Linked DNA regions of Anolis sagrei. The protein of the gene in region 1 interacts with the protein of each later gene in a pairwise test. Links are inferred from orthologs where the notes say so. Each region holds a gene or a part of one and is shown on either strand. Other genes may lie near its edges.

The links.
Region 2: the proteins of SETDB1 (region 1) and CDK4 interact in a two-hybrid assay, tested with the Homo sapiens proteins (2 studies listed by BioGRID and IntAct). The link is inferred for Anolis sagrei from reciprocal best matches to the Homo sapiens genes SETDB1 and CDK4.
Region 3: the proteins of SETDB1 (region 1) and methyl-CpG-binding domain protein 1 interact in binary tests that used the Homo sapiens proteins (3 or more experiments, as listed by UniProt). The link is inferred for Anolis sagrei from reciprocal best matches to the Homo sapiens genes SETDB1 and MBD1.

Annotation. Positions count from the first base shown.
Region 1 is NC_090032.1:5,040,370-5,051,199, forward strand, and holds the start of SETDB1 (histone-lysine N-methyltransferase SETDB1), read left to right. Parts: upstream 1-4,730; 5' UTR 4,731-5,267; intron 5,268-9,829; 5' UTR 9,830-9,840; coding exon 9,841-10,055; intron 10,056-10,830. UniProt on the Homo sapiens protein: Histone methyltransferase that specifically trimethylates 'Lys-9' of histone H3. H3 'Lys-9' trimethylation represents a specific tag for epigenetic transcriptional repression by recruiting HP1 (CBX1, CBX3 and/or CBX5) proteins to methylated histones.
Region 2 is NC_090022.1:191,405,912-191,416,741, forward strand, and holds the start of CDK4 (cyclin-dependent kinase 4), read right to left. Parts: upstream 6,283-10,830; 5' UTR 6,166-6,282; intron 1-6,165.
Region 3 is NC_090022.1:193,768,438-193,779,267, reverse strand, and holds the start of methyl-CpG-binding domain protein 1, read right to left. Parts: upstream 5,897-10,830; 5' UTR 5,812-5,896; intron 1-5,811. Other genes in the region: CXXC1 (CXXC-type zinc finger protein 1), read right to left, coding at 10,374-10,520, 10,680-10,830. UniProt on the Homo sapiens protein: Transcriptional repressor that binds CpG islands in promoters where the DNA is methylated at position 5 of cytosine within CpG dinucleotides. Binding is abolished by the presence of 7-mG that is produced by DNA damage by methylmethanesulfonate (MMS).

The DNA.
Region 1 (10,830 bases):
ATTATTATATCATTATATAGTATTATCATATATTATGGATTATTATTATATCATTATATATATTATATATTACATTATTATATCATTATATATTATTATCAATTATTATGAATTATTACATAATTATATATAATATATATTTAATTATAATATTATATATTTCATTATTACATCATTATATATTATTATCATATATTATGGATTATTATTATATCATTATATATATTATATATTACATTATTATATAATTATATATTATCATATATTATGGATTGTTACATAATTATATATATATATATATAATATTATATATTTCATTATTTTATCATTATATATTATTATCAATTATTATGAATAATTACATAATTATATTATGTATATATAATTATAATATTATATATTACATTATTATATCATTATATCATTATATATTATATATATAATTAATTATATATATATTATATTATTATATATTATATTATATATATATATATACTTATAATATTAGTATAAATAAATATTACTAATATATTATTATATATTATTTATTTATTTACAGGAAGGAAGGGAAGCTGGAAGGAAACAAGGAAGGAAGAAAGATGCACCAAGGGTTTGAATGGAGGGGCAGAATATCAAGAAGGTGCAATGCTTGATGCATCCTCTGGAGGGCGGCAAAGGATTGCACATAGGAGTCCTGGGCAAATGGTGCCCCTGAGATTTCAATGGAGGGTCAGAATACCCAGAGGGAGCAATGCTCAATGTGACCACCAGGGGGTGGCAAAGGGTGTACTACTACTACTACTACTTCCATCATCTGTGTGCCAAGTTTGGTCCAGATCCGCCAGCAATGGGAGTCACAGGGCTCGCTGGGTGCGGAGTGAACCATAACTCCCATCATCCAGCGTCAATGGAAATGGATGGATGGATAGATAGACTGATGGATGGATGGATGGATGGATGGGTACACTGATTGATAGATGGATGGATAGACTGATAGATTGATAGATGGGTGGATGGGTGGATGGATGGATGGATGGATGGATACATTGTTGGATGGATGGACGGATGGATGGATAGATATATTGATCGATGAATGGATGGATACATAGATGGATGAATAGATGGATAGATGGATAGAAAGATGGATGGATGGATAGACTGATATATTGATAGATGGGTGGATGGATAGATGGATGAGTGGATGGATAGATGGATGGATGTATAGATAGATGGATAGCTAGATGGATAAATGGATGGATGGATGGATAGATAGATAGATAGATGAATAGATGGATAGATTGATGGATAGATAGTTAGATAGATAGATGGATGAATAGATTGATGGATGGATGGATGGATGGATGGATGGATGGATGGATGGGTGGATGGATAGATGGATGGAAAGAACTTCATCGGTGTCGTTGATGGACGATGAAAAGCAGCAGCTCCCCTGGCGGCCAGAAAAAAAAAGAAGTTAAATAGCTTTTGTCTGTTAAATGTTGTTTGTCAAACTGGCATTGAATGTTTGCCATATATGTGTTTACTGTAATCCGTCCTGAGTCCCCTGCGGAGTGAGAAGGGCGGAATATAAGAACTGTAAATAAATAGATAGATAGATAGATAGATAGATAGATGGGTAGACTGCTATATTGATGGATGGATGTATAGATAGATAGATGGAGAGTTAGATGGATAGATAGAGGGATGGATGGATGAATAGATTGATAGATCAATGGATGGATGATAGATGGATAGACTGCTATATTGATAGATGGGTGGATGGATAGATGGATGGGTGGTTGGATGGATGGATGGATAGATAGATGGTTGGATGGATACATGGATAGAGAGAAGGGATGGATAAATAGATGGATAGGTGGATTGATGAATAGATAGATTAACAAATGGGAATATGATCTGGGCGACGACAGCTACGCAGTCCAACCTGGGAGGGATCCTTCCACTCTCCTTCCCTGTCCTGGGTGAAACCTGACGCACCCGCACCTTGTGAAGTATTCATGAGAATGCTTTCGGTGACAGAAGAGCAGAGCTGAACAACCGAATGGCAGAGACCCATTTTGGCACCGGGGCAAGAGCGAAACGCTGGCAGATCCTTTCCCGCAGACAAGGCAGGTAAGCGCCAAGCCTTGGCGACTGTGTTCCATTCACCTTGTCCGGGTGAACTATGTAACCTGGTGCCTCACCAAACTACCAATCCCATTATTCCATAGTATTGAGCCATGGAGGTTCAAGTGGGGTCAAGATGGATTCATTCCACAGGGTGTAGATGTGTTGTAAGGGGGTCTCATGGCGGGAGTTCGAGTTCAAATGAGTAATGTTTTCCGGAACCCGCCATTCCCACGTTTCTGCCCCTACAGATGAGGGGAAGACCCCTTCCTGGGTAAGAAGACCACCCTCAATTAGACCCATGGAGGACCCCACTGCCGAGACCTTTGTGGACGTGGACAAAGGCATCTGCGTCGGCTTCCTCTCCCTGATGTGCTTCTTCCTCCTCATCATGATGGTGCGCTGCGCAAAGCTGATTGTGGATCCGTATACGGCCATCCCGACCTCCACTTGGGAAGAGGAGCAATTCGACTGACATGTAAACTAGACCATTAGGTTACATGCATAAATATCTATCGGCCAATAGCTAATCCTTTCTAGCAGTGTAATAGCCACTTGTGGTTGCATCTGAGCACTGCATACATGCTTATCTATCGGCAAGTAGCAAATCCTTTCTATCTATGTGTTGCTCTCTTGTGGTTGCATCTGAGTACTGCATGCATACATATCTACCAGCCAGTAGCTAATCCTTTCTATCTATATACTGTCGTCTTGTGGTTGCATTTGAGCTCTGCATGCATACGTATCTATCGGCCAGTAGCTAATCCTTTCTATCTATATACCTCCTTCTTGTGGTTGCATCTGAGCATTGCATGTAAACATATCTATTGGCCAGTAGCTAATCCTTTCTAGCTATATACTGCCTTCTTTTGGTTGCATCTGAGTATTGCATGCATGCATGCATAAATATCTATAGGCCAGTAACTAATCCTTTCTATCTCTAGATTGCTGTCTTGTAGTTGCATTTGAACACTGCATTTGAACACTGCACTCATATCTATCGGCCAGTAGCTAATCCTTTCTATCTATATATCTCTTGTGGTGTCTATCGGACAGTAGCTAATCCTTTCTATCTATGTGCTGCTCTCTTGTGGTTGCATCTGATTACTGCATACATACATATCTATCAGCCAGTAGCTAATCCTTTCTATCTATATACTGTCGTCTTGTGGTTGCATTTGAGCTCTGCATGCATACGTATCTATTGGCCAGTAGCTAATCCTTTCTATCTATATACTGTCGTCTTGTGGTTGCATTTGAGCTCTGCATGCATACGTATCTATTGGCCAGTAGCTAATCCTTTCTATCTATATACTGTCGTCTTGTGGTTGCATTTGAGCTCTGCATGCATACGTATCTATTGGCCAGTAGCTAATCCTTTCTATCTATACACCTCCTTCTTGTGGTTGCATCTGAGCATTGCATGTAAACATATCTATCGGCCAGTAGCTAATCCTTTCTAGCTATATACTGCCTTCTTTTGGTTGCATCTGAGTACTGCATGCATAAATATCTATATATCTATGTAAACCGGGCTGAGTCCCTCAACGAGGTTGAGAAGCTCGGTATACAAAACTGTGAAATAATAATAATAAATAATAATAATAGTCCAGTAACTAATCCTTTCTATCTTTTTACTGCCATCTTGTGTTTGCATTTGAGCTCTGCATGCATGCATATCTATCGGCAAGTAGCTAATCCTTTCTATCTATATACGGTTTTCTTGTGGTTGCATCTGAGTATTTATTATATAATATATATATATATGTGTGTGTGTGTATTTTTTGTCGTGTCCAGAGCGACTTGAGGAACTGCAAGTCGCTTCTGGTGTATATTATATTATATATATATATACACATACACATATACATATACACACACACACACATATATATATTATAATACATATATATATAGTATATTATATAGTATATTATATATTCTATATAATATATAATTATATATATTATTATTATATAATATATTATATATATGGTGTATACTATATATTATAGTATATAGCATTATATTGTTTTATTTCATATTATATATATAATACATAGTATATAGTATTAAAGTGTATAATATAGTATATATTATTATAGTATTTATTGACAACTATATATTATTTAAGCCTAGGCACAGGGTTGCATTTTGCTCGGGAAAAAAAATCCATGCTTTCCTTTAATGCTTTGAAAGCAAAGCAAGAAAACAATTCAATTTTTGAGAATCAGTTTAAAAATGGATCTACTGGCCCTTTAAATGCAATGCGCATGCGTACTACGCGGCGTCCGAGTCGGAGAGAGAGAGCGCCTTGTTGCTTCCTTAGCCGAGCTGAATGCATGCCGCTATTTCCGCATGCGCACTAAAATGGATCTACTGGCCCTTTAAATAGAGAAGCCTCGAACAATGCGCATGCGTACTACGAGGCAGCGGAGTCGGAGAGAGAGCGCCCTGTTGCTTCCTTAGCCGAGCTGAATGCATGCCGCTATTTCCGCATGCGCACTAAAATGGATGTACTGGCCCTTTAAAGAGAGGGCTAGAACAATGCGCATGCGTACTACGAGGCAGCGGAGTCGGAGAGAGAGCGCCCTGTTGCTTCCTTAGCCGAGCTGAATGCATGTCGCTGCTTGCGCATGCGCACTAAGCAACTGATGAAAGCGAGAGCTCGAACAATGCGCATGCGTACTACGAGGCAGCCGAGTCGGAGAGAGAGCGCCCTGTTGCTTCCTTAGCCGAGCTGAATGCAAGCCTCTCCTTGCGCATGCGCACTAAGCAACTGATAAAGCGAGAGAGCTCTCGAACAATGCGCATGCGCACTACGAGGCAGCCGAGTCGGAGAGAGAGAGCGCCCTGTTCCTTCCTTAGCCGAGCTGAAGGCATGCCGCTGCTTGCGCACGCGCACTAAGCAACTGATGCTGGGGCGCAGGCGTAGTAACTAAACGGACATTGAGTTCGCTTTTTCCCCCTTCTCCTAGCCGCGCATGCGCATGATGCTTAAAGAGCCCGTCGGGTTGTGTTCCCACCCGGAAGCAGGTTGAATGGGTTTCCGGTCCTTTCCCAAGCCCCCCCTCCCCCCGCTTCATTGGTTCCAGGGAAAATAATTCCGCCTCTTGGTTTTCCCTCAGAGGGGGGAAAAGGTGAGTGGTTTTTTGGGGGGAAAGGGTTTGGATTTGGGGGGTCTTCAGGGGAAAGAAAGGAAGAGGATTGGAAGAGGAGGGAGGCAGTGAGGCCTAATGGCTGGAGCAAGGCCTGGCTTGAGGGAAAGAAAAGGGAAATATTGAATCCCACAACTAGATATCCTATTATAATGCAATACAATATAATACTACTACTAATGATAGGATATTATAACTATATATTTTGTATCACATGTAATATTACTAATAATATTACAATATAATGGTATAATGCAATATAGTAATATGTAATATTGATATTGTACTGTGCTAATGGTGGCGCAGTGGGTTAAAACACTGAGCTGCTGAGCTTGTTGATCGAAAGGTTGCAGGTTCGATTCCGGGGAGTAGCGTGAGCTTCCGCTGTCAGCCCTAGCTTCTGCCAACCTAGCAGTTCGAAAACATGCAAATGTGAGTAGATCAATAGGTACCGCTCCGGCGGGAAGGTAACGGCGCTCCATGCAGTCATGCCAGACACATGACCATGGAGGTGTCTACGGACAACACTGGCTCTTCGGCTTAGAAATGGAGATGACCACCACACCCCAGAGTCAGACATGACTGGACTTAATGTCAGGGGACTACCTTTACCTTTACTGTGCTAATAATATATATATATATATATATATATATATAATATTTGTAATATTATAATGTAATACAATATAATGCTACTAATAATAATAGGATATTATAATTATATATTTTGTATCAAATGTAATATTACTCTATTGTCGAAAGCTGTCATGGCTGGAATCACTGGGTTGTTGTAGGTTTTTTCGGGCTGTATGGCCATGGTCTAGAGGCATTCTCTCCTGACGTTTCGCCTGCATCTATGGCAAGCATCCTCAGAGGTGTTGAGGTCTGTTGGAAAAAGAAAATGAAGGAAGACTGCCTTTTCTCGATGTCCTAGTCATCCGCAAACCAGGTCAACAATTGGGTCACACCGTTTACAGAAAACCCACACACACAGATAGATATCTACATAAAAATTCCAACCATCATCCAAGTCAAAAAAGAAGCACCATTAAAGCCTTGGCAGAGCGTGCAAAAAGAATCTGCGAACCCCACCTCCTCCAAGATGAACAGGTCTCAAGCTTTAAATTTATTTATTTATTTGGTAGTTTTCTATACCGGTCTTCTCACCTCCATTCGAGGGACTCGGGCCGGTTTCCAACACCAATATTACAGACCGTCATTAAAACATCATATTTCTAAATCACACTAAAAACATTAAAACATTGAAACAATTAAAATGGCAAAAATACAATCATATGATTACAGTGGTCAGTCGTCATCAAAGTCATTCGTCGTCATCCATCCATGTCACAGGATCATGGTTCATTCGTTGAATGCCAATCCCCAAAGCCAGGTTTTCACCTTTTTCCTGAACGTTAAGATCAAAAGGGCAGTTCTGATCTCCAGTGGAAGGGAGTTCCAGAGTCGAGGGGCCACCACCGAGAAGATCCTGTCCCTCGTCCCCACCAGACGTGCTTGCGAGGCCGGTGGGACCGAGAACAGGGCCTCTCCAGACGATCTTAATAATCTTGATAGGGGAGAATACGTTCGGAGAGGTAAATAGGGCCAGAGTTGATTAGGGCTTTGAATTGTGCTCAGAAGCTAATTGGCAGCCAGTGGAGCTGGTGTAACAGCGGAATGGTATGCTCCCTGTACCCAGCACCCGTTAGTAGTCTGGCTGCCGAGCGTTGGACTAATTGCAGCTTCCGGGCAGTCTTCAGTAATATATTAGCTATAGGGCCATGTTCTAGAGGCATTTCTCCTGACGTTTCGCCTGCATCTATGGCAAGCATCCTTAGAAGTAGTGAGGTCTGTTGGAAATAGGAAAATGGGTTTATATATTTGTGGAATGGCTGGGGTGGGGCAAAGAGCTCTTCTCTGCTGGAGCTAGGTGTGAATGTTTCAGCTGACCACCTTCATTATCATTTGAAGGCCTAGCTGAGCCTGGGAAAATGTTCTGTTGAGAGGTGTTAAGATGTGCCTGGTTGTTTCCTCTCTGCTGTTTTGCTGTTGTAATTTTAGAGTTTTTTAATACTGGTAGCCAGATTCTGTAATATATTTATTTATTTATTTATTTGCTTTATTTCTATACCGCGTTTCTCAACCTATAATAGGTGACTCAATGCGGTTTACACAATATTAATTACCACAACAATAACAATTAAAACACAGCATACCCAATAACAAACACACAACCATTCATACAGTGCCTCGATCGCAACCAAGATCCAGTCTCATATCCTTATACCGTTCCTATGTTCAGTTTACCGTCATTCTGTGTACAATTGCGCTGATTAGCCAAACGCTTGCTCAAAAAGCCAGGTTTTGAGCTTCTTCCTAAATGCCAGCAACGAAGGGGCCTGTCTGATGTCGCTTGGTAGGGCATTCCATAACCGAGGGGCCACCACCGAGAAGGCCCTGTCTCTCGTTCCCGCCAACCGTGCCTGTGACGCAGGCGGAACCGAGAGCAGGGCCTCCCCGGACGATCTTAATGTCCGTGTCGGTTCATAGGAGGAGATGCGTTCGGAGAGGTAGGTGGGGCCGGAACCGTTTAGGGCTTTGTAGGCTAATGCCAGCACCTTGAATTGTGCCCGGTAGGGAATTGGCAGCCAGTGGAGCTGGCTCAACAGAGGAGTGGTATGCTCCCTGAGAGCTGCTCCTGTTAGCAACCTGGCTGCCGAGCGCTGGACCATCTGGAGCTTCCGGGCAGTCTTCAAGGGCAGCCCCACGTAGAGCGCGTTGCAGTAATCTATGCGGGATGTGACCAGAGCGTGGACTACCGTGGCCAAGTCCGACTTCCCGAGGTACGGGCGCAGCTGGCGCACGAGCCGAAGCTGTGCAAATGCTCCCCTGGCCACCGCTGAGACCTGAGGCTCCAGGCTCAGCGATGAATCCAGGGTCACACCCAAGCTGCGAACCTGCGTCTTCAGGGGGAGTGTAACCCCGTCCAACACAGGCTGTAACCCTATGCCCCGTTCGGCCTTTCGACTGACCAGGAGTGCCTCTGTCTTGTCTGGATTCAACTTCAATTTGTTCACCCTCATCCAGTCCGACACAGCAGCCAAGCACCGGTTCAGGACCTGAACAGCCTCCTTAGAAGTAGGTGGAAAGGAGTGACAGAGTTGGACATCATCTGCGTACAGATAACACCGCACCCCGAAACTCCGGATGATCTCTCCCAACGGCTTCATGTAGATGTTAAACAACATGGGGGACAGTATTGAACCCTGCGGGACCCCACAAGACAAAGGTTGTGAGGACGAGCAGCTGTCCCCCATCAACACCTTCTGGGTACGACCCTCTAGGAAGGACCCGAGCCACTGTAAAACAGTGCCACCAAGGCCCATTCCCGCGAGGCGTCCCAGAAGGATACCGTGGTCGACGGTATCGAAGGCCGCTGAGAGATCCAGCAGGACCAACAGGGACACACTCCCCCTGTCGAGCTCTCTGCGGAGATCATCCACTAAGGCGACCAGGGCTGTCTCGGTACCATGTCCCGGCCTAAAGCCAGACTGTGCCGGATCCAGATAATCAGTGTCTACCAAGAATACCTGGAGTTGTGAGGCCACCACACGTTCCAGGACTTTGCTCAAAAAGGGAAGATTGGAAACAGGCCGATAGTTGACGAATTGAGTGGGGTCTAGTGATGGTTTTTTCAACAGCGGTTTTATTACAGCTTGTTTTAAGCTGGCTGGAATATTGCCTTCCCGAAGGGAGGCATTAACCACCACCTCCACCCACTCGGCCAATCCCCCTCTGGCCTCCTTTAGAAGCCAGGATGGGCAGGGGTCTAGGATGCATGTGGTAGCTCTCATTCCTCCAAGTATCTTGTCCACATCCTCGGGACATCCCACATCCCACAAGTATCCCTCCACATCCTATAATATACTATATTATATTATTAGTATTATATTGTATAACATTATAATATTATAATTGGGGCTTCTGAACCTAATTTGGTGTCCAAATTTGGTGTCAATTCATCCAGTGGTTTTTGAGTTATTTTAATCCCACAAACTAACATTACATTTTTATTTATATAGATTTATTTATGACACTTATATTATTATATTACCGTAGCACAATATTAGTATTATATAGCTATTATACTGCAATATTATTAGTAATATTACATGCAATATAAAATATATAACTATATTATATTATATTATTATATTATATTATGATGACATGATAAATGGGAAAAAATTATATTATTAGTATTATATTGTATAACATTATAATATTATAATTGGGGCTTCGGAACCTAATTTGGTGTACAAATTTGGTGTCAATTCATCCAGTGGTTTTTGAGTTATGTTAATCCCACAAATGAACATTACATATATGTGTGTGTGTGTGTATTCATTCATTCTTGGCTGGAATTGCACTTACAAAATTTTCCTCTTCCAACGTACCTGCAAATTCAGCTTAAGAACAGACCTACAGAGCCCATCTTGTCTGTAACTGCCAGTATTCGGTTGTCTCCTTCTGGACGCTTTCAGCTTTGGCCGCCATGGCGGAGTCTGAGGACATGATGGAGCTGCAGCGGGTGGTGATGGACGAGCTGGGCATCTCTCTGGATGACCTGAAGCAGATGATCGACGAGGAGGTGGAGAAGTCGGAGGAGGTCCAGCGGCGGAAGCGGGAGCTGCAGAGCCTGGAAGAAGTGGTGAAGAAGAAGGAGGCCGAGGTGGCCTACGTGGACGAGCTCCTCGACAACGCCGTCAAGTAAGTCATCAGGGAGGCTCCAGCAGGAGTGAACACCTCTCCTTTACCGATTTGAGTACCTTTATTGATTCTGGGTTGCGGTGAGCTTTCCTGCCTGTATGGCTATGTTTCAGAAGCATTCTCTCCTGACGTTTCACCTGCATCTGTGGCAGGCATCCTCAGAGGTTGTGAGGTCTGTTGGAAACTAGGCAAGTGGGGTTGATATATCTGTGGAATGATGTCCTTGAGGCAAGTGTGAATGTTGCAATTGGCCAACTTGATTAGCATTGAATGGCAGCAGAAAGAGAGAGGGACGAAGAGAGGGAGGAAAGAGGGAAGGAAGGAAAGACGAAAGGAAGAGAAGTGTGGAAGGAAGGAAAGAGAAGACAAAAGGGAAGACAAAAGGGAAGATGGGGAAGGAGGAATGAAAGAGAGAAGGAAGGAACGACGAAAGGGAGGAAGAGAAGTGTGGAAGGAAGGGAGGGGAGGAAGGAAGGAGAAAGGGAGATAGGGAAGGAGGGATGAAAGAGGGAAGGAAGAAAAGATGAAAGGGAGGAAGAGAAGTGTGGAAGGAAGGGAAGGGAGGAAAGACAAAAGGGAAGATAGGGATAGAGGGATGAAAGAGGGAAGGAGGGAAAGACGAAAAGGGAGGAAGAGAAGTGTGGAAGGGAAGGAAAGAGAAGACAGTAGGGAAGGAGGGATGAAAGAGGGAAGGAAGGAAAGATGAAAGGGAGGAAGAGAAGTGTGGAAGGAAGGGAAGGTAGGAAGGAAAGAGAAGACAAAAGGGAAGAAAGGA
Region 2 (10,830 bases), on another chromosome or scaffold:
ACTAAAAAAGCATTAGAAGAAATGCCATATATATGGTTGAATAGTGTGCAGGCATGTAGCCAGGGGGGGGGGCTCGGGGGGCTTCAGCCCCCCCCGAAATTTTCATGGTTTTCGCGAAAAGGCCTTATTGGTGCATTATTTAAACTGTTATGTTTATTCATATCATGATCTGATCACCATACTCAATATATCCCATATGCATGGGGGTATTGGGGTAATGATACAAAAGGTTTGCTAGGCTAGACCCTCTTTCACTCAGACTCAGCCCCCCCCAAAACTCACCCCCCCCGAACCCCCCCCCCCCCGAAATTTTTTTTAGCCCCCCCCCGAAACAAAATCCTGGCTACAGGCCTGATGGTGTGAATGGTTGAATGGCTGAATGGTTTTCGTAGTAATGACGATGTTTTTGTATAATTGCTGGATTGTGAATTGTTTTTATACTGTGTCTTGAATTTTGTTGCTCCTATGTTGTACACCGCTGTGAGTCGCCTCCGGGCTGAGAACAGCGGTATATAAGCAAAGTAAATAAATAAAATTATATATATAACAACCAATAATGCCCTAAGCCTACAGAATTGTAGATTTTGGTATGACCTGTGGATAAGTCAAGAGCTATTGCGTGGAGAGGGGAAAATGCATTCAAAAAGGTCCTAAGTGACACTGCAATGTAGAAAATATATTGAGTCAGTGCTTCCTTTGGGTTCTCCCATGTCGGACTAAGTCTTTTTCTTTTGTCACTCTACTCAAAGAAAGAGAGGGTTCCTTCCTTGATGAGAAATAAGGTACAGTACTCACACCGACCCACAGATAAGTCAACCCAAGTTTTTTGGGTTGATTTCTTGACTAAATTTTCTAGACATACGTATATAGGATATGTATCTTTAATGCGAAAAGAAACACAGGCAAAAAAAACCAGGACGGCAACTGCAACCCTCCCCAAGTTCACAAGACACAGAAGTGAGGATAAACAAGTGTACACATACTGACACAAAGAACTTCTACAGGCACACAGTCTGCATATGTGCAACTAATGCTCAGTAACATTTGGGTGAGCATATGTAAACCTGGTCCTCTGCCACAATCCCACTCTTCTCCCCACTCGAGGTTGAGCATGCACACTTATGTTGCCTGGAAAGGGACGCTGTGTCATGATCACAATCAAAAGGAATGGGAGTGTGTGTGCTTCTCCACACCCCTTCAATATTTGGGGACAAGTCATGACAAGGACTAGCAAGCACAGGAAATGAGGGGGATAAAGAATCTTGGGTACAAGAGTGTCACCCTGAATCATTTGTACCCAACTTTGACAAAAGATGTCAATAACTTCAGAGTAATTCTTCTCAGCGCCAATAAACCAAACTGGCCAGGATCCTTTCCATACTAGAAAATTACAGCACTACAATTCTACTAACTGGCATGGGATTTACAGATTAGGAAGGTGCTAGAGATCCAAGGCTGAGGATTGTAAAGGCCAATTCCAGGATTCGATAAGAGATTACCATGGCAGTTAAAGTGGAATCATTGTTGAGTAACCATCACACAGTCCAACAATAATAATAAAAACCCTCTGTGGTCTTGGTTTTTAAGCCTGTTCCTGGGGTTATTTAGAGAGCCCATTCAGAAAATTGCACTGGACAGACTACAACAGTTCCAGTTTCAAGAAATGGTCATTGTTATTTTCTATGGGTGAGCAGATGGCAACTAATAGACATAGATTCCATCTCAAAAACTATGGGGAAAATTGGTGCCATTTTTGGAATCAGCAGGTCAAATATACCCAGAAACAAGTCTAACGTCTGGGGCACCCAAATGTCTGTTAGCCAGTGTTACCCAAAATGCTTGGGACACTAAGTTTGGGATTTCTTTCAGATTTTGGAATATCTATTTTAGCATATACAGCCAGACTTGTCACATTTGCTAGAGTTAGGGGCACAGGAGCCCATATGAAAGCGAATAATAAAGAAATTACTATTCCTTACATGACAGAATACTTCTTTAGGAAAGTAATATATACCATATTATATTATTAAAGTTGTGGGAAGAGGGATTAATCTGATTAAGATCAATAAGGGCCCTTTCATATAATCCAGAATAGCAAGGCGGAAAATCCCATATCAGCTTTGAACTGGGTTCTGTGAGTCCACACTGTCATATATTCCAGTTCAAAGCTGAAAATGTGGAATTTTATTCAGCTGTGTGGAAGGGGCCTAAGACTATGTAACAAAATTTGAAAAAAAAATGTTCCTGGTTTGAAAATGTTATTTCCTGTATAATTCTGTGCAACTTACTTTGAAAGTAGTTGTTCTACTCCACAAACTTCGTTTTTGTTGAATTAGTTGACACTGAGATATTCATTGAAAAACTATTGCAAAATGTGCTGGAGAATGTCCCGCAAAACTAAAGTTTTTGCAGTTTAATAAACGTTTTCATGATAGAACCAATTAGAAAATGACATTTATAACCCAGGAACAAAAATTGTGTTACATAGCATAATAGGAGAAAAAGTCTACTTAGGGGAACATTACTACTTCTGGGGTCTCCTGGTGGTGCAGCGGGTTAAACCGTTGAGCTGCTGAACTTGCTGACCAAAAGGTAGGTGGTTCGAATCCAGGGAGCAGGGTGAGCTCCTGCTGTCTGCTCCAGCTTCTGCCAACCTAGCAGTTTAAAACATGAAAATGTGAGTAGATCAATAGGTACTGCTTCTGAGGGAAGGTAACGGCACTCCTTGCGGTCATGCTGGCCACATGACCTTGGAGGCGTCTAACGACACCGCCAGCTCTTTGGCTTAGAAATGAAGATGAACACTACCTCCCAGCGTCGGACATGACTAGACTTTACCTTTACTTTGCTAAGGCAAAGGTTTCCCCCCACATTAAGTTCAGTTGTGTCCAACTCTGGAGGTTGGTGCTCATCTCCATTTCTAACCCAAAGAGCCGGCATTACCTTGCTACTTCTCCTAATATGACAGCAAAAATGAGAATCTACTTAATAAAGACCTTATAGAATTATATCCTAAGATACCAAAGTATTGGGAAAAGGTGTTTACCTGGATAAGCTAAATAACAGGAGAAAAAGTCAACTTTTAGGGGGCATTATTAACGTAAGCTGCTTTCAGTCTCCTTTGGGGAGATCAGGTAAAGATTTCCCCTTGACATTAAGTCTGACTCTGGGGGGTGGTGCTCATCTCCATTTCTAAGCCATAGAGCCAGCGTTGTCTGTAGACACCTCCAAGGCCATATGGCTGGCATGACTGCATGGAGCACTGTTACCTTCCTGCAGAAGCAGTACCTATTGATCTACTCACATTTGCATGTTTTTGAATTGCTAGATTGGCAGAAGCTGGGGCTACCAGCAGGAGCTCACTTCCCGGATTAGAACCGCCAACCTTTCAATCAGCAAGTTCAGTTCAGCGCTTTAACCCATTGCTCCAGCGGGGGCTCCTTTGGGAGAGATAAATCGAGGTATAAATAAACATTATAATTATTATTATTATTATTATTATTATTATTATTATTATTAGAAACAGAACAATATGAGTTCACAGCAGACAAGATCACTCTGCTGGTTGTTGCACTGGATCACACGTCGGACACTTCCCAAGTGTCTAGGACTGTGTGATGTATCGGCGAATGATGTGTGCAGATCCCAGTAAAGTGGCCTTTTGCAGCTGGCAGATGGTAATTTTGTCAGCGCCGATTGTGTTTAAGTGCAGGCCAAGGTCTTTAGGCACTGCACTCAGTGTGCCAATCACCACTGGGACCACCTTGACTGGTTTGTGCCAGAGTCTTTGCAGTTCGATCTTTGAATCCTCATTTTGTGTCAGCTTTTCCAGTTGTTTCTCGTTAATTCTGCTGTCACCTGGGATTGCAACATTGACAATCCACACTTTGTTTTTTAACACGATCGTAAAGTCGGGAGTGTTGTGCTCCAGAACTCTGTCTGTCTGCATTATTATTATTATTATTATTATTATTATTATTAGAAACACAAGATGAGTCCACAGCAAACACTCTGCTGGCTGCTGTATTGGATCACACGTTGGACACTTCCCAAGTGTCTAGGGCTGTGTAATGTATCAGCGAATAATGCCTGCAGATCCCAGTAAGGTGGCCTTCTGCAGCTGGCAGATGGTAATCTTGTCAGCGATGATTGTGTTTAAGTGCAGGCCAAGGTCTTTAGGCACTGCACCCAGTGTGCCAATCACCACTGAGACCACCTTTACTGGTTTGTGCCAGAGTCTTTGCAGTTCGGTCTTTAAATCCTCATATCATGTCAGCTTTTCCAGTTGTTTCTCTTCAATCCTGATGTCACCTGGGATTGCAACATTGACAATCCACACTTTGTTTTTTAACACGATCGTGAAGTCAGGAGTGTTGTGCTCCAGAACTCTGTCTGAATTATTATTATTATTATTATTATTAGAAACACAACAAGATGAGTCCATAGCAAACACTCTGCTGGCTGTTGTATTGGATCACAAGTCGGACACTTCCCAAGTGTCTAGGACTGTGTGATGTATCGGCGAATAATGCGTGCAGATCCCAGTAAGGTGGCCTTCTGCAGCTGGCAGATGGTAATGTTGTCAGCGCCGATTGTGTTTAAGTGCAAGCCAAGGTCTTTAGGCACTGCACCCAGTGTGCCCATCACCACTGAGACCACCTTTACTGGTTTGTGCCAGAGTCTTTGCAGTTCAATGTTTAAATCCTCCTATCGTGTTTTCCAGTTGTTTCTCTGCAATCCTGCTATTATTATTTTTATTACTACTACTATTATTATTGCTGATCTACATATTTGAAGACCAAAACGAGGATCCAACGGAGACCTTTATAATATTTCATCCACTTTATAAGGCCATTACTGTTTACCTTCCTATTTGAAGACAAAAATGGGGACCGAGGCTCCAGCGACACCGCTATGTAATGCAGTTTGAAACTGTCACATAGCGTGAAGACTCATCTAATGAACTTTAACTGCATGAGATGAGTCAACACTGACCATATGATGCATACTGCATTAGAAGGCAATAGACATGGGGCCCTACTGAATAATGCCCTTATAGTATTTGGTCCACTTTAGAAAGGCATGACTGCTTATCTGAATATCCTGCCAACATTTTTAGCCTGCTGCACAAGAACAGCTCAAGGGGCCCATTCACACAACCACATAACCCAGAATATCAAAGCAGAAAATCCCACAATATCTGCTTTGAACTGGGTTATCTGAGTCCACACTGCCATGTATTCCAGTTCAAAGCAGATACTGTGGGATTTGCTGCTTTGATATCCTGGGTTATATGGTTGTGTGGATGGACCCTCTCCTGTGGCCGCTTTGAACTGGGTTATCTGAGTCCACACTGCCATGTATTCCAGTTCAAAGCTGATAATGTGGGGTTTTATTCAGATGTGGAAGGGGCCAGAGAGGAACCCCCAGAATTAACAGATCCACAACATGAGATGTTTGCTGAACAAGGGCTCCTTCTGATGCTCTAATCTAGGAGGGAGGGGAGGATGATGGGAATTGTAGTCAGTCCCACGCTCTTACAGCGGTTGGAAAACGCCATATTAAGGCATGATGCCTGTGCGGACCAGAATCCCGTTCGCCTGCTGCAAATGCAGGAACTTTGGAAGTCCTGAAAAGTTACATTTCAAACAACGAGTTATCCCCACTATCGTTGCATCTACACTGGATAATTAATGCGTTTTGGCACCACCGTATGGGATCTTGAGATCTGTAGTTTTCTAAGACTATGTGAAGCGACAACACCCAGGACTCCATAGCCGTTAAAGTGGGGTGAAACTGCATTAACTCTTCAGTGTAGATGAATCCCCCAAACAAAGTTAAGTTTCCAAACTTGGAACATTTAGGAAAAAGAAGGCAATGTTTTGCAAGAAGAGACCACTTTACAATCCCACTCCCACAAAAAAGTCTCCAATAGAGTAAATATATATATTTAAAGTATCTAAATATCCCCCCCCCCCCCCACGGCCAGGCCAAGGCCTCTTGCAGGAATTGCATTGCTTCTACCCCTCAACTCGGCCCCTTGGACCAAGCCCAGCAACAAATGCTTAAATGCTTGCTTGCTTTCTTCCTTCTGCTCTGAACAACAGAGGGATCCCAGGCTTTGCTTTCCAGGGAGCGCGCGCCCCGGGCCCCTCACTTACTCACCCCAAACGCTGAACACGATGCAAAGCAGCAGCAGCAACAGCAGCAGTGAAAGGGTTTCCGCAGCTCCCTCGCGGCGGGGCTCGAGCCCGGGGAAAAGGGGGGCGGGGCTGGAAGACCCGGCAAAAACCAGCGATGCGCGGTGGCCAGAGCGGCCCCAATAGCGGAAGCGGGTCGCCATAGTGACGGGCCTCTACTCGGCGCTTCCCGGCTTCTTCGCCTCTCTTGTATAGGACAAAGGGTGGAGCGACAGCCAGGCCTGGGCAAGCTTCGGCCTTCCAGGCATTTTGGACTTCAACTCCCACAATTCCTAACAGCCGGTAGGCTGTTAGGAATTGTGGGAGTTGAAGTCCAAAACGCCTGGAAGGCTAAAGCTTGTCCAGGCCCGTCACTGTAGTATTATACTAGTTTGGCCTACTTTAGCCTTTCTCCTTCTTTGCCTAAGAGAACTACACAAACTAGGACCCTCAGGATCCCATAGCATTGAGTTAAAAGGGTTCCAAACTGCATTAAGTTTGGATTAAGGCGTCATGAATTGATAATAATTGTTGATTTTGTTGTTGTGTATGATGTGTTTTTAACTGTTTATTGTTGTGATAACCTGCATTGTGTAAACCGCATTGAGTCGCCTATTTAGGCTGAAAAACGCAGTATAGAAATAAAGCAAATAAATAATAATAATTAATTAATTAATTCTGCAGTGTAGATGCACCCATAAGGGGGCTTTCAATTAATCTTAGTCATGACGAGCTGTCCCTTGCCATGAGTTGCTATGGCCCAGTCAATGTATACTTTTACTTACTTAGGCGATCCCTCATAGTCCGAGGATGATGGTCCTCCAAGAGTAGTATCCTGAGGGTGGGTCCGTAGGTGGCTGTGGAACCCTATTCTTGATCTGCATCTTCTCCCGCAGTGAGGGCATCGGTTTCCAGGTGCAAAGCGGTCCCAGTTGGGATTGGCTTTATGCGCCTTCCTCTTGGCACTTTAGTCTGTGTATATGTGTCTTGTGTATATATATTTGTTTATATACAGCTTGGGAGTGATCCTGGATCCATCGTTGAGCCTGAAACCCCAGGTTTCGGCGATGTCCAGGGGAGCTTTTGCATAGTTAAAGCTTGCGTGCCATCTGCACCCGTACCTTGGGAAGTCTGATCTGGCCACGGTCGGTCATCCACACTCTTGTTACATCCTGAATAGATTACTGCAACACACTCTACGGTGGGGCTGCCTTTGAATACTGTTCGGAAACTTAAACTAGTCCAACAGGCTGCAGCCAGATTACTAACTGGAGCGACATACAGGGACATACACAACCCCCTTGTGTCAGCTCCACTGGCTGCCAATCCACTTCCGAACTCAATTCAAAGTGCTGGTTTTGACCTATAAAGCTCTATACGGTTCTGGCCCAGCTTACTTGTCTGAACGCATCTCTCTCTACGTCCCCTCTTGCAGTTTAAGATCATCCGGGGAGACCCTGCTCTCACTCCCGCCAGCGTCGCAAATACATCTGGCGGAGACGAGAGACAGAGCCTTTCAGCTGTAGCCCCCCTGCCTATGGAATTTGCTTCCCAATGAGGTGAGATCGGCTTCATCCCTCCTGTCTTTTAGGAAGAAATTGAAGTCGTGGTTCTGGAACCAGGCTTTTTGGACAGCAGACATAAATAGCACTCTGGATATGGAATTTGACTGGAATGGTGATATGGTGGTTAATACTGTTTTTATTGTTTCAATTAATGTGCTATTTATTGTTTTAATTGTTGCTATATTGCTTTGTTATATTTAATGGCATCAAATTGTACCAAATGTAAGCCGTCCTGAGGCCCTCTTTGGGATTTGAGAAGGAATGGGATAGAAATACTGGAAATAAATAAATATGTGTGTTTGTGTACATATATATGTGGTTTTGCACATGCGTTGTCATGTATTTTTTATTTTTTGGCTTTTAAAGTCCCTTCTGCTGTGTTTTTCAGTGATGGTCACTTGTTGGCCTGATTGGTGTATTATGTCCAAATTTGGTGTCAATTCGTCCAGTGGCTTTTGAGTTACGTTAATCCCACAAACGAACATTACATTTTTATTTATATAGATTGTTCCTATATGGTGTGTGTTAGGTCCCTTCCACACAGCTGAATAAAATCCCACATTTTCTGCTTTGAACTGGAATATATGGCTGTGTGAACTTACATAACCCAGTTCAAAGCCAATATTGAGGCATTTTCTGCCTTGATATTCTGGGTTATATGCCTGAGTGGAAGGGCTCTTAGTGAAGACTGGAGGCTGTGTGTATAATAAAAATAATAATAATAATAATAATAATAATAATAAACTATTTATATTCTGCCACCCTCTCCCCAAAGGGGACTCGGGCCAGCTTACATGAGGCCAAGCCCGATAATACAGTTACAATAACATGAATACAAAACAACAAAAATAACAATACAATAAAATAAGGCAATAACATAAGTGAACATAAGAACAAAACAGCAGTGCAGGATACAGTAACAAACATACACAATGGACGAGCCAAATGTACACATAAATGAATGAATGACAATGAAAAAGATGTATTTGTAAGGGAGGAGTGCATGGAGGGCGGAACAGTGGAGTTAGGCCTTAAAAATGGTGAGGGGAAGGGCAGTATGAGGACAACTTGAGGGAGAAGACAACAGGAAAGGAATATGTGGTCATTCTCCAAAGGCACACCGGAAGAGCCAAGGTTTTAGCTTCTTAAAGCTGAATGTTGGAAATGGCAGCCTTCTACAAGATTCCTATACTAGTTATTTGTTATGTATATAATTGTGATTACTTACGATATTGTATATAATGGTATGCAGTTTTCCCCTTAACTATGTTGCTAGAGGTTGTGGGCGGGACTACAGACCATGTGACCCAGATCTTAAAATGAGTGAGACTCCATTTCAAAATGTGTTTAAATCTGTTGGGAGTCAGTTAGAAGTCAGTTAAATAAGTTTGAGTTAGAAGTCGGTTTGAGCCAGTTTGAATTAGAAATCAGTTGAATTGGTAGATAACAGAGCAGCCAAAAGCCTGTGGTGTTTGGTTTTCCCAATACTTGCAGTGTAAACTTCAGAAACCTGCAGTTGTTGGTCTTAAAATTACACAGTGTAATCCAGGAACATAAATCATAAAGGCCCCTTCCACACAGCCATATAACCCAGAATATCTCTGGGTTATATGGCTGTGGTGCAGCGGGTTAACCACTAAGCTGCAGAACTTGCTGACTGAAAGGTCGGTGGTTTAAATCCTGGGATGGGGTGAGTTCCTGTTGTTAGCCCCACCTTCTGCCAACTTAGTTCAAAAACATGCAAATGTGAGTAGATCAATAGGTGGGAAAGTAACAACAATCCATGTAGTCATGCTGGCCACATGACCTTGGAGGCGTCTACGGACAATGCCGGCTCTTCAGCTTAAAAATGGAGATGAGCACCACCCCCAGAGTCAGACGCAACTAGACTTAATGTCAAGGGGAAACCTTTACCTATCAAGGCAGATAATCCACATTGTCTGCTTTGAACTGGATTATCTGAGTCCACACTGCTATACAATCCAGTTCAATGTGGATTTTATTCAGATGTGTGGAAGGGGCCATAGTGTTATTTGAAACACCAGGACATTTACTCTTCCAAGAATGTGAATTCTAGGTAGGTCCCGTCTACACTGCCATATAATGATATGGTCACTGTAGATCCATATAATCCAGTTCATTGTAGTCATGCTGCATTTTATCAGCCTACGCTGACCATATTAGGTAGTTTCACATTGCATTGTATAGAAGTGTAGATGGGGCCTGGGGGGAGGGGGGGACAGAGAAGAAATCATTAAGTTGCCATTTTAGATAAACTAGGCGTTGCGTAAGATGCAAGAAGGCTCAGGCTGTCCATTCCATTCCCAATTTGAATGCTGCTGACTCTATAGATAGCCTTTTGTGTTTGGAAAATCTGGTGTTGCTAAGAAAAAGACCCCCCCCCCCCTTTTTTTCTTTCTTTCTTTCTTTACACCTATTTCTCCTTTAGGGGAGATGTCCATTTTTTTATTTCCAAAGCAGCATCCATAATTTTCATACTTTTCCTCACTTGACTTTGTTTAACTAATGTTCTCTTACAGCAAATCCCTTGTTTCACTTGCGCTCCTTTTCATCTTGCTTGAAGAGTTTCTCACGTTGAATTTTGTTCCTTTGTTCCTGAAAAAAGCCCATTGTTTTGTTGCCTTCATCTAAGTTGAAGATGAAAATGTCCTGAAAAGTATAAATTAAGTGCCTTAGTTCTCTGAGCGGTGAAAATCTACAACAACACAGCGCTTGCTCAGTCTTGTTTGTCTTTGGAATGAGGTCACTAAAGGTCTGTGACATTTTGCAGTTTGCATTTATTTATAAACATACCAATCAAGCATAGATGAATGTTATGGCATCAAACCATCTCAACAGCTTTGGCACCTAAATGATTTCACCTTTTTCATAGTCAGAATTCAGCTCTCTTTTGTGCCTGTCTTCAAAAACTGCCGGTCTGCCCCTTTGTTTTCTACTTTTACACATCTGTTTAGATCTATCCTGGCTATTGATAAGAAGAGCCATTAAGCATAATCAGGCTGCCATTTCAGTAATAATTGGGAGCTAGCTGCCAGGAGAAACCTGTTCTGACTAGTCTGACCATT
Region 3 (10,830 bases), on another chromosome or scaffold:
ACCCTAAGCACGAATCACTTGAATTACGCATTTTACTCATAGACACCATAGTGATGGAAGATGAATCTTCCATCATTTACAGTTATTATTCACTGACTATGTCTAACACTAATAAAAAAAAAACCTCTAACAATATAAAACAATAACAGTATTTCAGCAGACAGGATGAAAAAGCTTGTACCTATAGGCAGGTTTACAACTGACTGGCTGACTGTAGGTAGGATCCTGTCATTTATATGAAAATAACTAACTTTGGAGAACCTTCAAAATGTATCTGAAAGGCACTGGACTGCATACTCCAGAACTGGTTGGCATACCTCCATCCCAGATTAGGTCCCTTGATGGCAAGCACCTATGTCTTGTTTGGATTCAATTTCACCTTCAATTGAAGGTTGGTATTTTGTACCTTTCAAGCCTAAGCAAGCACTACTAACTTCATCTGTCAATCTGCATAGGTCCTCGCCTCTCCCAGCCTCCTCCTCACTTATCTCAGTAATGTTCAATTAGAAATCCACGACACCCCAACCCCAAAACAGTGAATTAGATTATGGTTGCTGTGGTTATGTGGTTGCTGGTAATGGTGATCACAGGGCCCCCAGAGATGCGTCTGCACGGCTTTCTGCTGTTCCTTGCTCTGCTGGCCAAAAGTGAGGTCAAAGATCCTCCAATGGCCTAACCAGAAATCCCAGAACTTTTAGACACTCTGTGCTGGAGTTCTGTTGTTTTGATCTACAGACCTCTGGCACAGTGTCTACACTACACTACAAGAAGTATTTCATCCTTGGCAAGGATGCAACATCCTCCTTGGCATGCGGCCCCATACTTCTCTGTATGCGACGACATGTCATAGAAAATGGCTATACGTGTCAGTGCTAACACATGTGTCATAGGTTCGCCATCATGGGACTAGGCAATTCCCTGGATAGCTGGACCTTGTTGGGACCTTTAAAAAGTGTCCTCAAGCACTTTATGATTGTTATACTCAAAACCTTAATGGTAAATTGTTCTTATCCTCATAGTTGCTATATAATATTTGCACTTTATGCATTAGTTCTATTCTTTAAAGTTGTGGCACCAGTCCACCCACACTTGTGGGCCTATCTAGGTCCTCCAGTGTGATTATATGGTATGTGTCACTCCAAGTATAGTCAAAATATAGGGTTCGCTATTATCCACACTTTCAGGTATCTGCGAGTGAGTCTTGGAACATGTATCCCATGGATATAAGGGTTGTACTACACAGAGTGAATATTATCTCACATCATTTCAATGACTAGGAGCCTCCAGTGGCTCCTTAACAATGAGTTAAACCCTTGTGCCGGCAGGACTGCGGACTGAAAGGTTTGTAGTTCATTATCCGGGAAGCAGGGTGAGCTCCCATCTGTAAGTTCCAGCTTCTCATGCGGGGACATGAGAGAAGCCTCCCACAGGATGGTTAAACATCTGGAGGACTCCTGGGCAACGTCCTTGTAGACGGCCAATTCTCTCACACAAGAAATGACTTGGAACTTCTCAAGTCACTCGTGACATGAAAAAAAATTCAATGACTGAGTGGCTAGATACCAAGGTACCATTCACATCAACAGGCATCACTTTAGGTCTCTGTCATGCTGGCAGGCACCTGCATAAGTAAACCGGGTCCATTTTTAAAAAAAACATTCAGTTTGAGGCAATACAAACATTACATCTCTGATGAGTCAATCACACTTGGCAGATCACTTCATGCAATAGTTTCCAAGAGACAATTATGCAAGCACAAATCCATCACTCTTCACCTTCTCCATGATAAATCTTCTATGTGCATGGCCGTTTGGTATTGAATTCAGCACTGACAATAACAGATAGTACGTATTCATCCAGAAAATACTTCCCTAAATCAATGTGCTTCAACCTTCTAGTATCCTAGGCACTTTCCCAAATGTAAACTGAGGCAAACATCACTAACACATTACCAGCTAGATTAGGACATAACAGACCAACAATTCAAGGGACAGTTAATTTTGCATTTCTATTGCAGGAGCAATTGAGAGCTGAAAACATCTGGCACTCCATATCCACAGATACTAATGTTCCTTCAAAACCTTTTCCCCCCAAAAGCAAATCTTGATCTTGCCATTTTATATAAGGGACACCATGTTGCTACACCATTGTATATAATGGGACTTGAGTATCCACAGATGTTGATGCCCACAAAATGTCTGGAATCAAACCCAGCAGATACCAAGGGCCTACTGAACTACAATGATACACAAAAAAATCAGATTCCCCAACATAAGACATAAAAGGTACTGGAAGGGGCCAAGGCCAGAGCAACAATTAAAAGTGTATTTATACTATATTATTACGGCAGTTTGCTACTGCTTTAACTCATCATGACTCAATTGTATGTAATCATAGGAGTTATAGTTTTACAAGACTGTTAGCTATGTGTAGCACTCTGCCAAAGAGTGCTGGTGCGTCATTGTTGTTTATTCGTTCAGTCACTTCCGACTCTTCATGACCTCATAGACCAGTCCACGCCAGAGCTCCCTGTCAGCCATCACCACCCCCAGCTCCTTCAGAGTCAAGCCAGTCACTTCAAGGATCCCATCCATCCATCTTGCCCTTGGTCAGCTCCTCTTCCTTTTACCTTCCATTTTCCCCAGCATAACTGTCTTCTCCAAGCTTTCCTATCTTCTCATGATGTGGCCAAAGTACTGGTGCCTCACCAAACTACAAATCTTATTACGTAATGTGGTGTCATTACATCTACAGTGTAGAGCCAGCTTAGGACAAAGACAGACCAAACAACTCCCATGGTTGAGGAAAAGGCTGACTAAGAGTGCATCTCAGACTGCATAATTAATGCAGCTTAGCCACTTTAACTGCCATGGCTCAGGAATCAGCCAATCTGTACTTTGGCAAGGCAACAGCACTCTTTGGCTAGGAAGGCACAACACCTTGTCAAATGACAACTCCCAGGATTCCTCAAAATTGAGCCACGACAATGAAAATGATGGTCAAACTGCATTAACTGTACAGCACCCTTGGTCTCATTTCTAAGGGCCAAAACCCATCTGGCCTGTACAGTGTCCCAGGATCAGAACTGGGAATTGCTGGCTAAAGAGAATGTCACCCAAAGAGGTGACTGAAACACTCAGATAATGGTCTTATTATTATTATTATTATTATTATTATTATTATTATTATGTTTAATGTATCATTGAAGGCTTTCATGGCTGGAATCGCTGGGTGCTATGGTTTCCAGGCAGTATGGCCCTGTTCTAGCAGCATTTTCTCCTGACATTTCACCTGCATCTGTGGCTGTTATCCTTTGAAGATGCCTGCCACAGATGCAGGTGAAACGTCAGGAGAAAGCGAACATGAGAATACAGGCCGAAAACCACACAACACCCCATTATTACAATTATTATTGTTGTTGTTGACACAAAAGCACAGTATGTCACAGCAAATTAGATCTATATGCTGGATTTCATATCACAAAATCACAAGTCGAACACTTCCCAAGTGTCTAGGACTGTGTGATGTACTTTCGAATGATGTGTGCAGATCCAAGTAAGGTGGCCTTTTGCAGTTGACAGATCGTGATTTTGTCAATGTTTATTGTTTCCAAATGCCGGCTGAGATCTTTTGGCACAGCACCCAGTGTGCCAATGACCACTGGGACTACCTGTACTGGTTTATGCCAGAGGCTTTGCAGTTCGATTTTGAGGTCTTGATAGCGGCTGAGTTTTTCCTGTTGTTTTTCCTCAATGTGACTGTCACTTGGTATGGCGACATCAATAATCTTTTTTCTTTTCCACAATCATGATGTCTGGCGTGTTGTGTTCCAAAACTTTGTCCGTCTGGATTCGAAAGTCCCACAGTATTTTTGCATGTTCATTTTCCATGACCTTTGCGGGTTTATGATTCCACCAATTCTTTGCTGCTGGCAGGTGGTTCTTGTGACATAAGTTCCAGTGAATTATTATTATTGCCCCGCTTTTTCTCTACACAAGGAGACTCAGGCCCCTCTACACAGCCATATAAAATCCAGATTATCTGCTTTGAACTAGATTAGGTAGCAGCATAGACTGATAGAATCCAGTTCAAAACAGATTATGTGGATTATCTGCTTTGATAATCTGAATTATATGGCAGTGTAGAAGGGGCCTCAAAGTGGCAGATCAACCCAGTTTGCAGCTGTCATGCCCCCTTCACCAGTAATGAACCATCAAGCTGAGCCCTGATTGAGAAGGAGTGAAATCCCAACCATAGATCCCTTTCCACAATATCACAGAATTTCCATATTATTATTTGAAAATACAACAAGATGAGTCCACAGCAGACACTCTGCTGGCTGTTGTATTGGATCAGATGCCGGACACTTCCCAAGTGTCTAGGACTGTGTGATGCATCGGCGAATAATGTGTGCAGATCCCAGTAAGGTGGCCTTCTGCAGCTGGCAGATGTTAATTTTGTCAGTGCCGATTGTGTCTAAGTGCAGGCCAAGGTCTTTAGGCACTGCACCCAGTGTGCCGATCACCACTGGGACCACCTTGACTGGCTTGTGCCAGAGTCTTTGCAGTTTGATCTTTAAATACTCATATTGTGTCAGCTTTTCCCTGTTGTTTCTCTGCAATCCTGCTGTCACCTGGGACTGTGACATCGACGATCCATACTTTGTTTTTTAACATGATTGTGAAGTCAGGAGTATTATGCTCCAAAATTATTATTATTATTATTATTATTATTACATTCTATTTGAGTCCCCTTCGGGCAGACCCGTAGCCAGGATTTTGTTTCGGGGGGAGCTGAGTTTGATTGGGGGGGGGGGCTGAGTCTGAGTGAGAGAGGGTCTACCTTAGCAAACCTTTTGTATCGTTATCCCAATACCCCCATGCATATGGGATATATTGAGCATGGTGATCAGGTCATGATATGAATAAACATAACAGTTTAAATGATGTACCAGTAAGGCCACCATGAGACTTTCGGGGGGGGGGGGGGCTACATGCCTGCCTTCGGGTTTAACATAAAAACGTTAGCACAGCATTCTAAATATACAAATATTTAAACAGAATTAAATATAAACAGTACTAAAAGGTTCAGTTAAAACTATCCAGTAAAGACTTTCTGTATATATTTCAGATTTCAATATTAATGTCAAATATATGTAGTATGATTTTACATGTTACATTTGGCTCTCTGTTTCACACTCTATTCCTCTGACTTATATTATATTATGTAATATTAATATTCATGAACAAAAAGATTATGTTGCAATATGGTAGCAGCAGAAAGAATCATAGAATCAAAGAGTTGGAAGAGACCTCATGAGCCATCCAGGCCAAGAAGCAGAACTATTGCATTCAAATCACCCCTGACAGATAGCCATCCAGCCTCTGTTTAAAAGCTTCCAAAGAAGGAGCCTCCACCAGAAAGGAAGACCAAATGTTATGGAGAGAACAACTTGCAAGGAAACATTCCTAGTGCCACTGGTCTGACTACGAAATCGTAGAGTGGGAAGAGACCCCAAGGGCCATTCAGTCCAACCCTCTTCTGCCAAGTAGGAAACATACAATCAAAGCAGCCCTGGCAGATGGTCATCCAGCCTCAAGAGAAGAAGGCTCCACCATATGCAGCATGTGCTAAACAGAGATGTTGAGGTGGGTCTCTTTGAATCCCTGGCGCCCTGGTCTCCAGAGGAGCAGAAAACAAGCTGGCCCCCTCCTCAGTGTGGCACCCTTTCAGGAAAAGACCCATCTGTCCCTCCCTCCTCGAGGGCGCCATAGTGGCTGCTTGCCTCACTCAGGATGCCGCCTGACTCACCAGCCTCTCCGTCTCTTGCTTCCTTCCTTCCTTCCGCACTGCGCCTTCTCCTCCTCCTCCTCTTCCAGGAAACCGGGCTCCGGAAGGGCCCTGCCAACCCCCTCCGCCTGCTCCTGCAGCAGGGACTTCGCCAAGGCACCAGGGAGGAACACCCCCTCGACGCAAACAACAACACCCTTCCCGGAAGCGGAAGTGACGAAGATGACGGTAAGACCCAAGGCCCCTGACGTCAGCATGCTCCCCAGCACGTGGCCGGGGGAGGCGCGCGGAGGACAGGCGGGAAGTGCTTCTTCTAGAATCATAGAATAGAATCAAAGAGTTGGAAGAGACCTCATGGGCCATTCAGGCCAAGAAGCAGGAATATTGCATTCAAATCACCCCGATAGATGGCCATCCAGCCTCTGTTTAAAAGCTTCCAAAGAAGGAGCCTCCACCACACTCCGGGCAGAGAGTTCCACTGCTGAACGGCTCTCACAGTCAGGAAGTTCTTCCTAATGTTCAGATGGAATCTCCTCTCTTATCGTTTGAAGCCATTGTTCCATTGCATCCTAGTCTCCAGGGCAGCAGAAAACAAGCTTGCTCCCTCCTCCCTGTGGCTTCCTCTCACATATTTATACATGGCTATCATATCTCCTCTCAGCCTTCTCTTCTTCAGGCTAAACATGCCCCGCTCCTTAAGCCACTCCTCATAGGGCTTGTTCTCCAGACCCTTGATCATTTTAGTCGCCCTCCTCTGGACACATTCCAGCTTGTCAATCTCTCTCTTCAATTGTGGTGCCCAGAATTGGGCACAATATTCCAGTTGTGGTCTAACCAAAGCGGAATAGAGGGGTAGCATGACTTCCCTAGATCTAGACACTATGCTCCTATTGATGCAGGCCAAAATCCCATTGGCTTTTTTTGCCGCCACATCACATTGTTGGCTCATGTTTAACTTGTAGTCCACGAGGACTCCAAGATCTTTTTCACACGTACTGCTCTCGAGCCAGGCATCCCCCATTCTGTATCTTTGCATTTCGTTTTTCCTGCCAAAGTGGAGTATCTTGCATTTGTCACTGTTGAACTTCATTTTGTTAGTTTTGGCCCATCTCTCTAATCTGTCAAGATCATTTTGAATAGATTGCAGCATGAATGCACCGCCAGGGTTCAAGGCTGTGGAGTCCTGAGATCTGTCATCGGATAGGTTCTGTATCCGCCTCTGCCCCACCAAAGTGCAGCAAGAACATTCAAGAATGGATTGCTGTGAGTGTTCAGAGCTGTATGGCCATGTTCCAGAAGCATTCTCTCCTGACGCTTTGCCCACATCTATGGCAGGCATCCTCAGAGGTTGTGAGGTCTGTTGGTAACGAAGCAAGTGATGTCCAGGGTGGGAGAGAGAACTCTTGAGGCAAGTGTGAATGTTGCAATGGGCCACCTTGATTAGCATTTAATGTCCTTGCAGCTTTAAAGCCTGGCTAGTTGCTGCCTGGGGGAATTTTTTGTTGGGAGGTGTTAGCTGACCCTGATTGACTCTTACCTGGAATTCACCTGCTTTTTGGGTATTGCTCTTTATTTGTTGTTCATTCGTTCAGTCGCTTCCAACTCTTCGTGACCTCATGGATCAGCCCACACCAGAGCTCCCTGTCAGCCGTCACCACCCCCAGCTTCTTACTTAACTCAAATTATATTTTCTAGCTTGTGTTGATGTAAATTTTGCAATAACTTCAGTAAAATCAACTTGCTTAGCTAAATCATCTTCGATGCACAAAATTTCTAAAAGAGTACATTGCTCTTGACTAGTTGTGCCTATTTGCCTTGTTTGCAAGTCTGCTGAATGACCTTTCTGTTGCAATTAAAGCCATATATTGGCAAATATGTTGTTGTTGTTCATTCGTTCAGTTGTTTCTAACTCTTCGTGACCTCATGGACCAGCCCACACCAGAGCTCCCTGTCGGCCGTCACCACCCCCAGCTCCTTCAAGGTCAAGCCAGTCACTTCTAGGATGCCATCCATCCATCTTGCCCTTGGTCGGCCCCTCTTCCTTTTTCCTTCCATTTTCCCCAGCATCATTGTCTTCTCCAAGCTTTCCTGTCTTCTCATTATGTACTTCATCTTTTCCTCCAATATCCTTCCCTCCAATGAGCAGTCAGACTTTATTTCCTGGAGTATGGTTGGATCTTCTGGTGGTCCAAGGCACTCTCAGAACTTTCCTCCAGCACCACAGTTCAAAAGCATCTATCTTCCTTTGCTCAGCCTTCCCTATGGTCGAGCTCTCACATCCGTAATTTACTACAGGGAATACCATTACTTTTATTTACTGTCCTGATTTTAGAGGGTTTTTTAAATACTGGCGGCCAGATTTTATTTTCATGGTTTCTTCCTTTCTGTTGAGATTGTCCACATGCTTCTTGTGAATCTCAGTGCCTTTTCTGTGTAGTCTGACATGGTGGCTGTGAGAGTGGTCCAGCATTCTGTGTTCTCCAATAATATGCTGTGTCCAGGTTGGTTCATCAGGTGCTCTGCTACGGCTGATTTCTCAGGTCAAGACAACACAAATTCAACAATTCAGCAAAAGACAAGAGGGGTCCTCTAACCACTGCAGGAGTCTACGATACACCATGCAATTGTGGACAAGTCTACATAGGGACCACCAAACACAGCAATGCCCAGACACAAATCAGAGCATGAAAAGCACTGCAGACTTAGGCCCCTTCTACGCAGCTGAATAAAATCCCACATTTTTTGCTTTGAACTGGGATCTATCACAGTGTGGACTCAGATAACCCAATTCAAAGCAGACATTGTGGGATTTTCTGCCTTGATATTCTGGGTTATATGGCTGCATGGAAGGGCCCTTAGGCCCCTTCCACACAGCTGAATAAAATCCCACATTTTCTGCTTTGGATTGGGATATATGGCAGTGTGGACTCAGGGTCCTTCTGATACTGAGCACCAACCACCACACACATCCCCGACCCCGGCTGATCAAATATGCAAATAATCATCAGAGGAGTGGAGAAGGGCAGCAACAACTGACAAGCACCCTAGATACACTGTCTTCCCCCTCTATTACAAAGTAGCCTCTTTAATAAACATACACTTCAATGTGTTCCCCTTATAACTGATTCTTTGTATCCTTTTGGCCTCCTGTGTCTTTTGCCTCTTGCAGCTGGCCCCAGTAACTGTGCATAGCCTTCCGCATAGTTGAATAAAATCTCACATTTTCTGCTTTGAACTGGATTATATGGCAGTGTGGACTCAGATAACCCAGTCCAAGGCAGACATTCTAGGATTTTCTGCCTTGATATTCTGGGTTATATGGATGTGTGGAAGGGCCCTGAGTTAGGAGTAAAGATAAAGAATAGCAGCTATTTAAACAGTAATCCAATGTCATTTGATGCTGGCCCATAATATAAAACGCACATACAGAGAGAGAATGAGACAGAAGGTTGAGAGATATTTTTATTAGCCTCTTTTCTGCCTCCTGGCAACAGCACACAATGGGATGAGAGATTTGTAACCCATCTGGTTCCTTTGCCCTGATTTAACAGCATATTTAACCCCTCAGTTCCATGACTCTTAGCTGACAGCAGCTACATGGAAAGGCAACAGTGCTTAATGTTTACACGCGTCTTTCCTTCAATGCAGCATCAAAAATCTAATCAAAATTCTGCTTCAGGAAGCAGGGATTGTCCTAAGCCAGTATGAGCCGAAACATTCCTTTCACCTTGGCAAGTTGGCAGAAGAAGCCACTGACTTCCCTAACTGCCAGTCTTCCAGCCCTTAAACCATGGGAATATTTTAGAAAAAAAGGGACCACAGCTAACAGCCACTGGCAAGGGTTTTATGGTCAAAGACAGCTTAGATTCTACAGGAGCAAAGAAGAGGAGCTCAGAGGCAAAAGCTACACCAGACTGTTTTAATGAAAAAAGAGATTAAGAAAAATCATTTTTAAAAAAAGATTCTGGTTCAATTGGCACTGAATTGGGAAGCTCTTGTCCATAGGCTCAACAGCACCTACAAAGAAAAGAGATGGGTGTTAAGGACAGGAAAATGATACAAATCTTTGACAAGAATGAGGGAACATGAGATCTCAATGTTGTTAAGAATGCAAATCCAACCAGCCCTCCACAGTACGCCTACGGTAAATGCTGCTGGGAGCCCAGTATCTGAAGTAATCTCTACCCTTGTCTTGCCTTAGTGTTAGCCAGAGATTTAAGCTGACACTCTTCTACAGGGAAAAATTGTGCTATTTCAAGGCACTTCATTTAATGTCTTCCTCAGAAGCAAGTTCCCCAATCCTCTTGTCTTAAGTGAGACCAGTGAGAGGAAAACACACAACTGTTCTCCAAATAATGTATGAGCACCAATGCTTCCTATGTAAGGAAAGAGTATATCCCAACACCCCACAGTAACTGATATAGCCCCCAGCTGAGACTCTATGTGTCCAATAGAGACTCTACATCTCCATCTCAGATATGCATCTACCCCCACCCTCCAGGCTTAGCTAACCAAGCAACTTAGCACTGAATCCTCTTTATCAATCCAATGGCAGCAGGTGCTATTACCTTTCGCTTACTAGCTCAGCGATCAGTGGTTGTACGCAAGTCTGTGGTCAGTGGATCATGCTGGATTGTCTGGTGCAGCATGAGAGCAAGAAGCCCAGCTCGGTTGGTCATGGCCATCCGTACATTTCGTTCCTGTTCAAACAGCTCGTCCAGCTTGTACCACTGCAAAAGCAAGAGGAGCAGATTACAGCCCATCCCTAGTGGAAGGATTCACACCACTGCTACGATTTCTCGAGCCAAAAACCTATTTCATACACTGTTGATGGGCTCATTATAACCCTTTGACAACCAGACACATATGTGAAGTTTGCTGATCCATACCACGCGTACTCTCTCCAAGTCCACCTCAGCCCGGCGCAGCTTCTCCCAGCAGTAGTGTCGATTGCATTTCCGTTTGGGCACACGGCAGAACTCCCCAGTGAGCTCAAATACGTCTTTTACCATGGGGCAACCACATACCTCATCTGCTGAC